Lonchura striata: one gene and its partner. The protein of the gene in region 2 purifies or fractionates together with the protein of the main gene of each other region. This does not show direct contact. Links are inferred from orthologs where the notes say so. Each region holds a gene or a part of one and is shown on either strand. Other genes may lie near its edges. The genes, in order: FNIP2 and FLCN.

What was found.
Region 1: the proteins of FLCN (region 2) and FNIP2 purify together in Homo sapiens (affinity purification with western blotting; 5 studies listed by BioGRID and IntAct, with this or other methods). This does not show direct contact. The link is inferred for Lonchura striata from reciprocal best matches to the Homo sapiens genes FLCN and FNIP2.

What each region holds. Positions count from the first base shown.
Region 1 is NC_134606.1:40,680,698-40,689,134, forward strand, and holds the start of FNIP2 (folliculin-interacting protein 2), read right to left. Parts: upstream 3,427-8,437; 5' UTR 371-3,426; coding exon 204-370; intron 1-203.
Region 2 is NC_134618.1:15,351,747-15,360,430, forward strand, and holds the start of FLCN (folliculin), read right to left. Parts: upstream 3,665-8,684; 5' UTR 3,421-3,664; intron 3,291-3,420; exon of another isoform or gene 3,221-3,290; intron 2,173-3,220; 5' UTR 2,144-2,172; coding exon 1,895-2,143; intron 723-1,894; coding exon 576-722; intron 1-575. Other genes in the region: COPS3 (COP9 signalosome complex subunit 3), read right to left, coding at 8,027-8,080, 8,399-8,479. UniProt on the Homo sapiens protein: Multi-functional protein, involved in both the cellular response to amino acid availability and in the regulation of glycolysis.

The DNA of each region.
Region 1 (8,437 bases), on a different chromosome or scaffold from region 2:
GAGTCAAGAATGATGGTTCAGTTTCAAACAGGAAAGACTTTCTGGAGTTTCAGTCAGCATCATCATCAAAAATAAGCCTTTAGCAGAACTTTCTCAGTTATTTACAAAATAGCCTTTCAGGCACATTATTATAAATCTAGTGTCACATAAAAATGTCCTTTCTTTGTCAAAAATCATATACATCAAAAAAGTTACATGCATACCTGTTTTGCAGCAGTCTAGTCACTTTGTTGGCACAGCTGACACTTTCGTCTCTCAAAGACTTTCTAATTCTTTCATCCAATTTGGTACAAGAGAGATCATTGTTGTTTCTTGTTCTTTCTATTTGTCCCCCAGTGCCATTTGCAGTTTTTGGTGTACCCCCACACATTTTCTTAGCTACAAGTCCTCTTGTAAAGCTCCCTCAAAGAAACTAAAACACCTGCTGAAGAGAAAAAACCTCAAGCAAGTTTCTTCACTATCGCTCAACCATTAACAATGGTAATTTACCATCACCTTTCTTCCCAATAAAGGAAGACAGTCTGCTGAATTTCCAGTTGGGGGGGAAAAAAGGCAAAGGAATCTTCATATATTCTATAAGCCATTAATACAAAAGGACAGCTGTAGCTAATGTAGTCCTGCAATTATTCCAGAAAGAACAGACATGACTTTCAGGTTTCAGAAGCCATCGTGGACTTGTTCTTGCTGCTGTCAGAGGTTTTCCTTCTAAGCCTGGCGCAAAGCTGCAGCAGATACAACAGCTAATATTGACTTTAGCTATGTTTGTTTCCTGGTATGTGATTTAGGTAGCTGGCAATTATGTAGTCACAAGACTGAACCATATGGCCTCTTTAAAAAAAAAAAAAAAAAGCATAGTTGCTTTTGCAGTGACTCGCCCTTAGTTGCAAGGTTGTTCTAACACTGGCTACAACACCCTGTTAATGGCTCTCATGTGAGCAAGTGTCATCTGACAACCCCTAGCAACCTCGTATAGCTTAGGAGCAAGTAAGAATCTGTCATCATTGCCATATGGTTATCAGTTTAAAAAACCCAACTACCAACACCAAGAAACATGCTAGATATTCTGTGCTGTACTGACTTTATTTCTAAGGACAAATACTACTTATACTTGGACAAGAACTTGACACTAGTACTTTGAAAAGCTATTTGAAAAGTATGAAGGAAAACAATGAGAAAAGGTTTGTTCAGATTTCAAGTTGCTTGATGAGAATTTACAGTCATGTGCCTCTTAAAATAATTCAATGACAGCATTGATGACAAAAATATCTAATAAAGTACTCCCAAGTAAATTTCAGTTTTTGAACAGAACAAAGGAATCGGATCACAGAAGAGAGAACATAATTGAGTCCAACTCCTGGGCCTGCACAGCAGCATCCCCAAGAGTCATACTTAATGCCCCAAAGTGCTGTCCAAACACTTCTTGAACTCTGTCAGGGATTGGTGCTGTGACCACTTCCCTGGGGAGCCTATTTGAGTGCCCAAACACCCTCTAAGTGAGTAACTTTTTTCAAATATGCAACCTAAACCTCCTCAGCACAACTTCAGGCCATTCCCTTGGGTACTGTCACTGGTCACCACAGAAGAGATCAGTGTCTGCCCCTCCTCTTCCCCTCATGATGAAGTTGCAACTGCAATGAGGTCTCCTCTCAGTCTCATGTTCTTCAAGCTCAACAAAGTGAGTGACCTCAGCCATTTCTCATACAGCTTTTCCACAAGGCCTTCCATCATCTTTTTTGCCCTCCTTTGGGCACTCTCTGATAGCTTAAATATCTTTCTTGTATTGCAGTGTCCAAAACTACACACAGGATGTTCTGTTAGGCTCTGGTAATTCTACTGCAGAATAAAGTCCTCTTTACCCCATCTTTGCTTTAAAATAAGTTATCCAGACATATCTGCTCATAATTCACATCTATCATGAATTACAATGGGCTTTCTCCTCACCAGTAAAATTTTAGACATTTTATAAGATAACAGCCCTACTGCAATTTCTCTTCCAGGTTAAAAAGGGAAAATAACTTTGTTAATGGTCAACCAGACAAGCAGTAGAGTTAGAAGCAAGATTTCAAAACCCAGTGCTACGTGCTACCTGCTAAATAGCACAGCACCCTTAAAATGATTTTGTAATCACAGTTAACCCCAACCTCTAAAAACTGGACAGAAGTGAAGCAAAAAACTAGAGCAATGCTAGGTTGAACAACTTGCTCTGTTGCTGAGGGAAACCTATAGCAATAAAAAAACCGCTCCACTTCGATCCCCAGAGAAGTGACAAGTACTGGATCACAATCACTCCTCCTTCCAAGAATGGCAAACAAGTGAAATCTTTGGCCTGTTCTCAAGTGACTTAAATTGTCTAGGAGAAGACAACTCTAGTCTTCCCCTCATTGAGGAAGACTACTTTAAACACCAGTGTTACCAGTCATCTTTGAAGCACAGATGAAAGAAGTGAAATAATACATGTTGACTAAGATCAGGAAATCATAGCTTTCACTTCTGCACTACCCTTTCCCCAAACAAACCAAAATTCTGGAACATTCATCAAACAATCAAATTCCCATCAGGGATTAGAACAAGAAACTCCTGTAAGCTCACTAAATAGATGGCTTCACAACACTACCTCATCTGTAAATGCAATCATCTGTAGAATAACATAAATCCTATAGTATCTGAAGAATTAACATTCCAAATCCACAGCACAGTTTCTAAACAACAAAATAATATATAAATCTACACATGGAAAACACACAGTCCATAAAGTAGATAACACAGAAAATGGAATAAAGTGTCCTGCTCTGCAGATATAATCCTCTGTGAAGCTGAATTTAATCACTCTTTTTCTAGGCTATGTGACAGCATGCCACCTGCTCTGTTTGTAGGTCATTTCCTGTCCTTCATTTTCACTGCAAGACAATTGCCTAAATTATTTCAACTCAAGGTAATACTTTAGCAAGAAAATTTGGGGTAGGGGAAAGAGGAAATAAATGTATGTGATGTAGTTTAAGAATAATTTTCTATATAAGTTACAGCTGTCCACTAAAACTTAAGCACTGTTTTCAAATCTAAGAGAATATTTTCAGAGACCCATGCAAGCTTTTAGAAGTGGCTAGAGAAGCTTAGCAAAAAAGTTTGAACCACACCTGCTGTTTCAGTGAGCATTTCTTTTTGCAAAACACACACATCGCAAAATTGATACACAAAAAATACCTAGACCCAAACACTCAGGATTAGTGCCAAAACACATATTTAAAGATGAAGTGGAATCTTTTCTGGATTGCTTAATGATAATTTTCCCTCTTTTAGTCCATTGAATAGTTTATGGGGAAGATAGGTTCCCATCCTCCCTCCTAATTTGCCTCATTTACCCTACATTGTTTCTTCTCTTTCTAAAACCTCAGATATGGAAGAGTTGTGTGGATGCCACACCACATTCCTTTTCCACAATGACTTAAAGTAGTCCTAATATGGCAAAGCTCTATTAACCTGAGATGAACTACCTTGTTCAAGCATGATACATAGTTACTAGTTTCACACAAGTTAGGCGGGATACATTGCAGATTAGTCACGCAACAAGTGAACGAAGGTATTATTTGGAGCACTGCTCTCTCTCAAGACAGATTTTCCTGAAGAAAATGTTCAGATGGAAAAAAAGTTCTAGGTATCAAATCACTGTACAGAAGCGTCACTTTTTTTAGAATAATTCTATATGTTCCTCTATGAACTCCAAGCAGTATTGGACATATTTGTTAATTGAAAAGCTAGAATTCCACAGATTCCCTGCTTAGGAAAGGACAAGATACTGGATTTTTGTGAGGCTGGAAGTATTTTTTCTTCATCTTTGTTGCTATAAAGCAATATCATCACAAACATGCACAAAAAATGACAAGACACACACACTGCTAAATAGAGGTTAACAAACAGATCTACGCAAGTTGGAGTCACCATAAAGTGCACACATCAGCTTTCCATAAACATAAAGAGCAGCCCATTAAACCAGTGCGTCAACTCAACTTCTCTAAGTTATCAGGAATCACTGCTCACTGGCTTATCTACAAATCTGAAGTCTGGGAGTTAGCTGTCATAGGGTATCTATCTAATGTAATCTATCTAATGTAGAAATAAAAAAATAAAACCCACAATAAAACAAAACCTTAATCAAAGAAAACACCCAGCAAGTACACTGTTTGAAGGAGGACCACAAATAGCACAGAGACAGCACTCTCAGTTGCTAGCTCCAGAAGTGGAATTCCTCATTAGGAAAGAAAAGAGCTAAAGGCTTGTAATTGCATGGAAAAAAGCATGCATTTAATTGTGTTTGACCATTAAGAAAAGTATGGGTTTTGTTAAACTAGGTCTTTAAACAAAGACAGGTAAAATCTGCATTAAGGTTAGCACCTTATGTCTACCACCTAGTTCTTTCCTCCATACAGAAAGCCATGCTTAGTTTTAAACAACTTTCCCCTTTCCATCCCACTTTCTGCTGCCATCTCTATAGCTTCCAACAGTTGGGAGAGCCAGCTGACCCGAAGCAAGTCAAGTATTTTGCAGTAGCTGTTTCAGAGTGATGATCTTTATCAATTCAAAAAAATGAAAATTTGCTTGTGATTTAACACTCTCTAGGATTTGACTCTGCTCCTTTCCCTGTTTATTTTTTCAAGGCATCTGCAATAAGCCGCTTCCAGCTTTCACTGGAGCCAAACAGCAGCGGCCACCCGGGAGCAAGCAGTGTGGGTCCGGCGCCTCTGCTGCGTGGCCGGGCACAGGCAGCCGGGCCGGCCAGGGCACCCCACCTCCTCCGGCACGCAGCCTGGGTCTCGGCTAATGCATCATTCCCGTGTCACTTGTTCCAGCGGCGCCATGTGACTGGGCCAGCGGCCAGGAACACAGCTACTAAATACAGACACTGCCAAGGCACGTCTGGGAACTGCCTCTGCCAGAAAATGAGATTAAGAGAAATCCTTTATCCTGCCTCTGCCTTTCCCCACCTTCTCTTGAACACAAGGAAGAACTACCCATTGTACATCTGTCTGAAGGAGAATTTTGAGCAACAATGCAAGGCAGAATCTGGTATTTATAACACTATACTAGCTCTTACTTCATTGCAGTGCTGTATAAAAGTACTGACAGAATTCAGACCTTAGTATCTCCTACATACGTGAGCAGGCCAAGACAGACATCGCCACACCTTAAGGCTGGTATCCTGAGGCATGGGTTTGGTTGTCTGCTCTTTCCTGTTCCTTCTCCCTCCTCTATAAAGCCCTATATTCTATATTTTATTCTTTTTATTTAAGGAAGATTCTGTATACAGGTTTCAGACATCTGTTCAAAGGATTAATTTCAGAATATGAAAAAAATTATTAAGAAAAAATGTTATTTATTGGATGTAAGTAAATACATAGATACAGAGAGCTAAACAATGTCTGGTGTTTAACATTCTCCCCCCACCCCAGTTTTTTTCTAGCTAAATGGAAAGTATTTTTCTGCTATAACATACACAAACACCTTCAAGTAGCCAAAAACACCCTCATGTTAACAGCAACCATTTCTTTAGAAATTTCCTCCACTTCTATACTATGAAAAGGCTACATTCACAAGAGGGCTTTGTGAACTGCAGAGGATGTGGCACTTTCTCAAGCTTTACAGACAGAAGTTTAGGGTACTCTCTCCAGGGGTGCAGAAAGATTGCAAATCCCCATTTCTCATCATTGTTCTGAACACGCACTCCCACTGTACAAAAGAACACACTCAAGGAGGGCTAGAGGCAAGTGCTATCCAAGGACCCCATGGCCTTCTTCCAAGGGAAATTGCTTCAAAGTGTTTCATCTAACCCAAAAGCACAAACTCAGCAGTATCACTTCACTTAAAACGAAATTAATATTTACCTCCTAAATTCCTATTCTATGAAAAGATATCACATGTGGCTCTCTAACAGTGCTGAGAACTGAAGCAGCCCAGTTTTTTTGACTAGCTAACATAGTATTGGCAAGACCTCTGTAAATGGTTATGTTAAACTGTTGTAAGAACAAGATGTGTTTTGATACTTCTAAAACAGAGATTGCAGCTGAAAAGTTAGTCTGCAATAACCAGGGAAGGAAGGAAGAAAACCTAAGTTGAATATTTATGAGAAAGTACTGATTTACCAAACTGGCAAGAATATGGGAAAGAACACATACACAAGAAGCCATGCTTGATCACCCAAAAGTTGCTACAGCACGAACAGCAAAATCCATTGCCTTGGTCTAGATGAATGCCAGGAAATCCTGACTTAGATTGAATGAAGTGATAACACGGACGGATATAACATCAGCTCCGGCATTTTTCACTAGTTATAGCCAAAAATATGTTTTGCTCCTCCTGTTGTTGTTATGATAATTTGTCTATTCCATCCAAAACACTTTCCTTAACTCTCTTGTAGATAGCACAGAAAACAGCTTTCGAGTAACTAGAACTGAATCTTGAAGGCTTACACAGATTTATTTTCAAGTTTCACTGGAAAGGGAAGGAGGAACCACACCTTAGGACCATGTGCAGAAGATCATGGCAATTAAATAACTCATACCATACATCTTTTCAATGAAAAAGACTACACACAAAACCAACCAAACAAACCACAATCCTGCAGCTGACTGGCACAGGCAAACCTATCCTTGCTGCAAGCCACTATGCTAAAGACTTACGTTCTGTTTACCACCAATTGCGTAGGACTTTGCATGTATAAATAGTCATTAAGTTATGAAACAGTCTCCCCTCCTTAAAGCAGGCCAACCACTCTAAACTACTCACATAGGATCCCAAACATTTTCTCAAAAACACTGGTATTATAGAAGACTTAGAAGTTTATCCAGTCAGGTTTGTACGTAATTACGGCTGACCGCACCCAGTAGTATGCTAGCATTTGGCTGCCAAGTATCAGTCCATCAACCCTGAAACATCTGAGCAAAAACATAAAAATCACACGGAAAACTTAGTTGCATCCTTGTCCTGCAACAAGAATGATTTGCACATTGATAGATGCAAACAAATTTCAGTCAGTAGCAATTATTTACACAAATTCGAAACCTTCCTCCTCACAAGAAGGTAAAAATTCGTCAAGCTTCTTTAATGCTCCCCAGGAAAACAGTGTACAAGAAAATCCTTTATAACAGACCTGATTTACTAGTGAGGTGAAGTCTACCAGAGAAGACTCACTAGAAGCCATCCTAACAATTACAGATTCAGGACAACTTCCTTTAAATACAAACAAAACTCTTTATTTTCACTTTCTGCCAGAACAGGGACCAAGGATACAACTCTGATGAAGACTACATTCAACTTTTAGTGCTTCAGTAACGCAAACAAAAAGCCAAAATAAACTCAAATTTCTAGTTTGCATGCTAACACATTTCAATACAAATACAGAATTATTTCTTTAAGCAGAAAACAAAGTTTAATTCATAGGTTCAAGTCATCTTTGGCACTCCACACGGACATATTTTCCTCAAAAATAAAGAAATTGGACAGATGCATTATCAATGTGCACATGGGTTCATTGAGTTGACTGTTTCAAAAAAACCACATTCACTACAAAATACATTGTTTGCATTTTCATCTTCTTCGCATACCTATCACTGCACTCATTATCCAGTCCAGCTCTCCATTAGCATTTTACAGCATTTCCACCAAGTGCTATAATAAAGTGACAAACAGAAATAGCTACTTTCAAACGATTTCCCTAGTTTCATTCAAAAGCATTCCAGAATATATCCCTATGTGTAAGACTGCTTACAGGAACTTCTGAACACAAGAAATTTAGTACCTGAACTTTTTTGAACTCAACTGTACTGTGATCTAGTTCACAGGAGGTGACTAACATATCCCCAAGTCTCCCAAGTACCAAAGTCATTAGGTAGTACTCACCCACCCCCTAAGTTAGAATTGGGTCTGAAATCATTTTAGTGAGATTTATATGCACAGGCAAATCTCACAAACACCTTTATAAGGAGAGAGGGTTAATTTTTCCAAGTCTTTAACTTGATATGATCTAGAAACATTTTTAACAGTTGGGAGGGCAGAGGTTGCACTTCTGAAGCTGTTTCAAGCAGCTAACACAGGACAGCAGCCTTCCTCCAGGCTAAAAGCCAAGACCAAGCAGGAGCCAAGATGCATGCCACTATGGTTGTCTGCTAAGTGAAGTGGCCACCAGATCCCTGTTCTTTATTCCAGCCATCTCAACACAGCTGAGGATTAGCCCTCCATAACCATTCCTGCATGGTGTGACAGCTTAACACAGACTACTGTAAGAAGAGCTGGTTCTATCACTGACCTTTACATAGACACAACTGATAGCACTTGAACACTGTTCCATCAATGCTACTGTGGAAGTGACAAACGTCCAGCCAATACCCGATCCCAGCATAGAACAGGAGACTGCAGTAGCATCTTGTAACATTGGAGCCATTTACCA
Region 2 (8,684 bases):
ACTTTAATACCCACTTGGTGAATAAATGAAGTCTTTGTACAATACTATCCCAAAAGTGTGGTCAAACAGCCCTCTAAAGATATCCTACAAACGCTCCAAATCCTTCAATTTAACTGTATTTTAAGAATTCAGCTCCATTCAACTACAATACTGAGAATCCAGAAGGAATTTCGCTGATCCTGACACACAAATGTTCATTATTCTGTGAGGTTTTTCCTTCGTGTCTGTTAGGATGAATATTAATGGTCTACAAAGGGCACTCAACACCACATTCAAAGGTTTTTACAAAAAACAGGTTATCTTACAATGACAAATAATGAGCACAAGGAACAAAACCAAGAAGGGCATATTTTTAGCCTCACAAGGTGAGAGGAAGGAACCTTTGAGGTCATCAAAGATCAAATTTAAAAAATACCACCAATCCTGGAATAAACAGACTTCTGTGCCTGTCTTTCCACCTGGTTCTCTCCATGTTTCAGTCTGCAGAGAGCAGCCAGGATAAGCAATGGACTATCCTGGATTTGAAGTGACAGAGGAGGCACAAAGAGCATTTCCCTGTCCTCCACGGCAGGTACCTCACAGCTGAGGCTGCGGACGCAGGCCTGGCGCACGATGCTGAACAGCTGGGGGTGGTTTGGGTGCTGGTGGCTGACGTACTTGATGGAGGTTTCCTTGTCGTGGCTGACGTACCCCGGGTGTCCTCCTGCAAGAGAGCGGCAGCCCTGAAGGCAGAAAAGCAAATCCAGCCATAAATGAGCGTGCAGGTATCTGAGATTTCCAAAGAGCTCTGACTGTTCCCTCCAAAGCACCGTAAAATCTTATTTACACACACAGACAGGAACACAAAGACTCAGAAGACAAGGAAGGTGAGTCAGGGTCAGGATTTGAACTCAGGTCCTCACACAAAACTCTGATATACTTCTTCTGCTTTTATGCTCATTTTCCACTATTTAAGCCCACTATGAACTTAGTGCTGGTAAAGTTCAGTTACAGCAGCTGAGAAACCAACCGGCCAAACAAAACTGGCCACAACTGAAGGGAAAGTAAATAATAAATATGTGAGAGGAAGTACTGATAGAAAACAAATATGAGAATCATAGAATGGTTTGGGTTGGAAGGGACCTTAAAGAGCACCTCATTCCACCCCCTGCCATGGGAAGGGACACCTTCCCAAGCCCCATGCAACCTGGCCTTGGACACTTCCTAGGATGGGGCAGCCACAGCTTCTCTGGGCAACCTGTGCCAGGGCCTCACTACCCTGAGAGGGAATAATTTTTTAGTATATCTAACCTAAATTTCCCCTTTTTTCAGTTTCAACACACTACTCCTTGTCTTATCACTGCAGTTCCTGATGAAAGTCCTTCTCTGGATTCCCTGCAGGCCCCTTCAGACACTGGAAAGGTACTGCGAGGTCTCCACACAAACTTCTGTTCTCCAGGCTGAACAGCCCTGAATGAATGAGAATATAATTTTTTCCTATTGTTTTTATTGTTTTACTTTTTAATTCTTTCCTAACCAATACTGCTCTTAAAATTACTATTAATAATTTATCTGATCTAATCTAACAAAATAAATGTTCTTCAAGGATGAGCAAAGCATTTCTCAGCCACAGGAGAATCACAAATCACAGAACTTAAAGAGACATCAAGGTCCTGTCAAGGTGTATGCATTCAACAACAGCTCCTTCATCCTCTTGTCATGGATCACCAGGATTACAGTTAGGGCTAGCTTGCAGTTTATGAGGACTTGGACATCTTCTGGCACTGACACATATAAAACATATTCTGTTCACATTTTTATTTGTCTCTAAACAATTCAATTTACATCAGAGAATCCCAGAGCCCTTTAGCACAGCCAAGGACGGAGATCCCCACGCACAGATTTTCCCACTTGCCTCACACATGTCTGATTTCTTTGGCCCTGGGCTGCTGGAGTCGGCGCTGGCCCCTTCAGCCGGGCTGTGCGAGCGGATCCTGCTGCTCATCTGAATCCCACCTTCCTCCTCCTCTGCCTGCTCGTTCTGCCCGGAGATGTCCCCGCTGCCGGCGCCCTGCGGGAGCGGCGAGTGCAGGACCTCGGTGCAGAACAGGGTGCGAGGGCCGTGGAGCTCGCAGAAATGGCACAGGGCAACGATGGCGTTCATCGTGAGGGCTCAGCACCGCCGCCAGGCTCCTGCAGCCAGGGGCAGAGCACACGGTCAGTACACAGATACAGGGCAGCTCTCAGCCCTTGCTGCTGCTCTGCACCCCACCCGGAGCAGCTGGCCTTAAGCTCAGCCTGAGACCTCCAGGACCATCAAGTCCAACCGATCCCCACCTTGTCACCCAGCCCAGAGCACTGAGTGCCGTGTCCAGTCTTTCCTTAGACACCTCCAGGGATGGTGACTCCAACACCTCCCCAGGCATTGCACTGATCCAGGAGCAACCTTCTGTTTGCTGATGGGCAACCCCATCAGCAACTCACCCTGCCGTGCCCAGATGCTGGACGCTGATCCAGGACACGTCAAGCCCCGTGGGGGTGAATGGGGCTGGACCAATCCATCAAGCCCAGATACCTCCAGTATTACAGGTTCAGGGAATCCCAGAATGGTTTGGGTAGGAAGTGACCTTGGAAATAACCCAGTACAACCTCCTGCCACGGACAGGACACCTTCCCCTATCCCAGATTGCTCCAAGCCCCATCCAACCTGGCCTTGGACACTTCCAGGGATGGAGAAGCCACAGCTTCTCTGGACAACCTGTGCTTCCCCACACTCACAGGCCAAATTCCTTCCCAATATCCTATCTAAGCCTGCTGTCGGTTTGAAGCCGTTCCCCCTGGTCGTGTCACTCCACACCCCTGTAAATAGTCTTGTCCCATCTTTCCTGCAAGTTCTATTTAGGTACTGGAAGGCCACAATTAGGTCACCCCGAAGCCTTCCCCTTTCTAGGCTGAACAATCCCAATTCTCCCAGCCTTTCCTCAAAGGCCAGGTGCTCTTCCCCCCCGATCACCTTGGTGGCCTCCTCTGGATCAAGGCTGAGCTCAGACCAGAAGATCCCCCGTGGCCGGAGCCTCAGGCCGGATCGGGCGGGCGCTGCGGAGCACCCAGGGAGCCGAACGCTCAGGCCCTGCCGGAGCCAGCCTGTCCCGCGGGTGCAGTGTCCGGCTCCCCGCTCCCCGTCACCGCGGCCCCGCTCCCTTCCCCGCCGCCCCGCTCCCGTGCCCGCCGCCCCGCTCACCGCGGCGCCCCCGGCCCGTCCCGAGCCTGACACCGACTGACCCACCGGCCCTACCACCCCACCGCCAGCCGGGGGGGGGGGGAGGGGGGGCAGGGACACACAGCGCCCCGCCCGCGCGCCCGCCGCCGCCGCGGAGAAGCGAGAAGATGGAGAACAAGGTAGGAGAGAGACAGAGAGAGAGATGAGAAGCCCGTTCGTACCGCGGGACTGAGCCGGCCGTCCCGCCCGGAGAGCCGCCACCCCCCGGCTGCTGCAGTGGCTCGGCCCAGGGCCGCCCTGTCCACAGGGGCCGGGCGGAGCCATTATCTCAGAGGGGGGTGTAAGAAGGTCTGGAAGGCGCACCCTCCCCGCCCGCGCTACACCTGCCCAGCTGTCACGGCGCAGAGCGGAGCAGCGGTGTTCCATCACCGGGGACACCGGAAGGGACGAGCGGCAGCCAGCGACCGGCGGGGGCCGCCCCGGGAGCGGACGGCGCTCCCCCCGCGGGGTGGTACGGGCCGCGCTGTGGGTCATGTGACCCGCGGGCTCTGGGAGGGGACCCGGGGTGGCCGCGGGCGGAGCCCCGGAGGGGCCGGGACCGGGACCGGGACCGGGACCGGAGCCGGGGCCGGGACCGGGACCGGGACCGGAGCCGGGGCCGGGATGGAAACCGCGGCCGGGTTGGAGCCTGCCGCATTAACGAGCTTCGCCATCGGCTGTCGCAGAGCCCCTTCCCGGGACTTTCTCCGGCCTCAGGGCGGTGCCGTGTTCTCGCAGGCTCGGCGCGATTTCTCCATTGGAGACTCAGCACCCACCGTCTGTGTTAGTTCCTTAAAGTGCTCAGAATGTTAGATTATGGCAGATGAAGGTTTCACAATACTGTCGTTTCCCGATGTATAAAGCGGCTCTGTGGAAGTGTTTGCACAGGTACAGCCCGGGAAGGGCAGGGGAGCAGATGCCCAAGTTAAGCCTGTTCAGGCTCTTTATTTCCATTAAACAACTCCTGTTTCTCTTCAGGATATCACATTTAAATATTAAAATATTATTTATCTCTTAAGAATCTATGATGGAAAGCTAAACCAAATTCCATATGAACCTATTGACCTTCAAAAATAATAAAGTACCAGATTCCTCCCTGCCCCTTGGAGTCGCCACTTAAAGAACTTTAAATACCTGAATCTGAACAAAAAGAATAAGTTTTCAGGTAGATAACAGCATAGATTATTCAACTGAGTAAAACTCGTACTTTAATCCCAAGAAAGAGCAGCTATTGCTGATACCACTACACAACACACCTCTGGGTCCAAGCACAGCCACTCATGGACTAATAATTATGTCTTTGATTAAAACAATAGCCAGATGGTCAGCAAGATGGATTGTTACAGAAATACAGAGCTCAGACACAAATCCCAGAATGGTTTGGGTTGGAAGGACCTCATGGACCATCCCATGCCAAGCCCCTGCTGTGGGCAGGGACATCTTCACTAGACTAGTGAAGATGCGTTCCATCCAAAATCCCAAAGCTCATCTCAGTCAAGGACCTGCAGCAGCACTTCTCCAGAAAGACACTAAAGAAAGATTATTTCTACTTGGAATTGCTCAGCAGAGCTCTGAGAAGCCACCAGCAGGGTTTCAGCACCTCTGGAGCAGAGGGCACTGCCACACACAGCAGGCAACCAGCAGCCTCCCCAGTCAGCCAAAAATCACCTCCTGAAAAGCAACCACAACAGAGAGATCCCCCCAAAAAACCTAAGAAAACCCCAAATGGAAAAGACCTACAATCTCATTGAAGACAAACTAAGAACCACTCGTTTGTTATCTTTATTTTCCAATAGTACATTTAAACAACTTCTCAGGACTAAGCTCCCGGGCCAGCGTGGCACACGGAGAACATTTCCTAGGTTATACAGACGGCCTGTGACAACACAAACACGGGGCTGTGGCTGTGCCGTGGCACACACAGGGAGCTGTGGAGGAGGAGGCAGCTGCAGTTACACCACGGAGCAATGGCTCAGCACAGCTCGCTCTGGGGCTCCTCAGTGGCACAAAACCAGGAGTGGGGGCTGGCTGGACACAGCTTCCAACCATTCCTCCTTAGGAACATTTCCAAATCTCACCGTGACTGGCCTAGAGACCCCTCCTGTGGCTATGAACTGCAGCTGCACATGTGATGCTGCCTTCAGAAGTGCATTTTGTGTCTTTGCCAATTAAAATGCATCAAAATCAGAGTCAGATATCAAAGCGTGCACTCAGTATTCCCTGGACACATCTTGTGACCATGCAGGATGGGAAGGAACAGCCACGAGACCTCTGAGAGTCCAAGTTGGGAGCAGCACAGCACGCAGTGTTCCTAGATTTCAGCAGAAGTCCTTCCCTGCAGTAAATACAAATTAAAACCAGAAAGCCCAAGTGTTCTCGAAGCCTCTCAGCTGACCACAGCCCAGGCAATTAGTTCCAAGACTTGGAAGGAGCTGCTTCATTAAAAATCTGACTTAATTTCAGCGCTATCTCAAGACATGCAGATGCCAGATCATGTGTGTTTATCAAACGAGGACTTAAAAGCCCTTCCCTGGAGCACTTTTGGTGAATGCTTTATCTACTGATTCTACAGGTGGGACCTGACTTTGAATTTCTAACAGAATTCAGACATTGACAGCACAGACAGAAAAGGAACCGCAGCCATTCTCTAACTTTAAAAGCATTTGCCCTCTTAAAAATCAGATATGTAATGGAATATATCACTTTAAACTATTACACAGCTATTTTTGCCATCCTTTTGATGTGAGCATGGATTTATTTTATCTACTTTGGGCAAGGAAAAAGAAGAGAAAAATCTAGAGCTATTCACCAGCTGCATGGATTAGTTTGCTTCTAATTCCACAGCTGGAAAACCATCCTGCAGATCTCAGCAGGTAAATCCATGCTCAATAACAGGAACTAGTAGTGTAAAAATGGACATTCCTGGTTTTTTTCAGACTCCATGACAGCATCTTGAATACATTCTCCCCTGGCAATACATTCTCCCCTGGCAAGGGAGCCACTGGCAAAGAGAGTTGAGGCAGGCACATTTCTGGATGGGTGGGGTTTGGGGTCAGTTGTTTGCAGTCCCTTCTGTGAGTGCCACATGTGGTTGTAACAACCACCCTGTTTTGGGCTCAAGCCACAGCATCACTAATTACTCATTTAATACTTCCATGGGACCAGAGGGGAAAATGCTGTATGTTCAGCATTAAAATCACTGCAGGATTAACAAGGCTAAAAACCTTCCAAGTCATAGATCTCTTCTAGTTACAAGACTTGTGAGTTATGAAAAACCCCAAGATCTTGCTTAAAGATCAGATATAAAAGTTGTCCCAATGGAATTCTCTCAGGCAGGAAGTGATGAGCTACTCACACTATGGACCTCCACTGTGTTCACTACTAAATTGCTATTTTATACTTTTTTAAAAATGTCCTCCACCACCAACCACAACCTGGGACACCTCTCTGCACCAGAAGGCAGCACCCTGCTGCCACCAACACTTCTGTATCAGCGCTGGAAGCACAAATGGAATATTTTCAACCATAGGTGACCTCAATACATACAAACTTCTCACAGCAAGAGCCAGGAATGCTCAGCTCCCACCTGGACAAAAGCTGGCAGGGCAGCAGGAGCAAGCAGCTCCTGGCCAGGTGTTTCAGTAGGAAGCAGTGGCTGTTGAGCTTCTTGTTTTCTGATTTGATGACGGGTTTATTTCTGCCTGACAGGAAGGTGTTTGAACAGTGAGAATCTTCAAATACACGAGAATGACAGAAAATTAAACAGCCTGTTGGATTTAAGGGGTGAAGCACTTTAAAGAATCCAATAGCAAAGTTTCAAAGTTTAAAATAGTAAATTAAAAACCAGGTACCATTCCAACACATTATATCTGAATAAAATCCTGCATTTTGAGAGCTGTATAGAATTCTATTTATGTTCCATGCAGAAATACAGGTTTCCACCAAAGAAACAATCAGCCTGTTGAATACCTTCATGCCAGTTGCACAGGAACAAACATTTAAATTTCTTTCAGTGTAAACAACTTCCTATCTAGAATCCTCCAGAACACCAATGTTTTCCAAATATCCTTTTGTTTAGGCCTAATAAATTTCATCTAAGAGCAAATAATATTAGCAGATATTTTGCAACAGAAACTTAAAATCATAAACAGCTGTCACGTATGTTTTCCATATATGATTCTTACTTTGCAGCAAACTTCCTTACAAGGACATGTTGATATCCTCATCCTTTCTGGAAGAACAGTTCTTATTTCCTCATTTAACAGACAGCACCAGCTACATGGGGCATATGCAAATTCCCTACATTATGATTTGCTTGAACTCCACCTCTCTGCCCCCACCACACATATGATAAATCTGCACTTTGAGCCAACTTTAAATACAGAATAATGAACCAATAATTATCTTGTAAGTGAACCAACACTGGTTTGTATTCTTCCCTGAATAACACTTTCTTTTGCAGAAGAGGAGGACTGCTACAGAAACACGGCAACATTCAAACCCTTTAAAACAAAAGGTAGATTATTTAATGCATTAACAATGTTAATCTGAAGATAAATAAATCCACAACAGACTTTCAAGTTTCTTTTGAGATTTCCTTTTTCTTTGCAGAGAATATTTCTGATATTATACAGTACTGAGAGGGTGTTCTTTTATTTTCTTAATGTCCAGGTGAAAAGCAAAGCTCAGTTCTCTCTGCTCTCTTTGTGGAACTCCTCAATGCCCTGTTCCAGGCGTGATTCTTTCGTAAGCTTTTACTTGAAAGCGGAGTGGTGAGCAACATTAATTTCAAGAATAACTGGATGGTTTGGTCCCTGAGTCATCTTCTTGAGAGCCCATACTCTGAAAGGGAAAGAGTTAGTTCTGTTCAGAAACAGGTCTGCAGGCTTGAGAATGACAGGTCTTTGAAGTGAACAGGGAGGAAAATAAAGTGCCTATGAAATAACATGAACTTAATTTTCTGGTTAAAATCACTGCAGGATTAATTAGGGAAAAGCACCTTTAAAATTAATAAATTATCTTTATGATGTGTCATGATGTTTATGCACATATTATTAATAATATGTAATAACAACACTGTAAATACTGACATTCAGTACAATATACTCACTGCACTGAATGAATCTCTTACATACTCTGACAAGACATTAAATCCATTACCTTCTGCACAAACTGAGGGTTCACAGTGATCTCTTGATCCATGGCTTTCAGTCGTTCATCAAGCTCTATACATTTCAGCATCTTAAAAATATGTATGAAATTGATTACTTTGTCCAGCTTGTACCTAATCTTCAACACATTTCACGGCTGTGCCACGTAGAACAAGTAATTTCTGCCACCACTAAAGTTCTACATCAAAATGTTCTCATCCCTCACCTCCCAAACAAAAGTGTAAGACCGTATTTTATTCCCTTCATTTGATCCATGCCTTCCTTTTTAAGGCCAT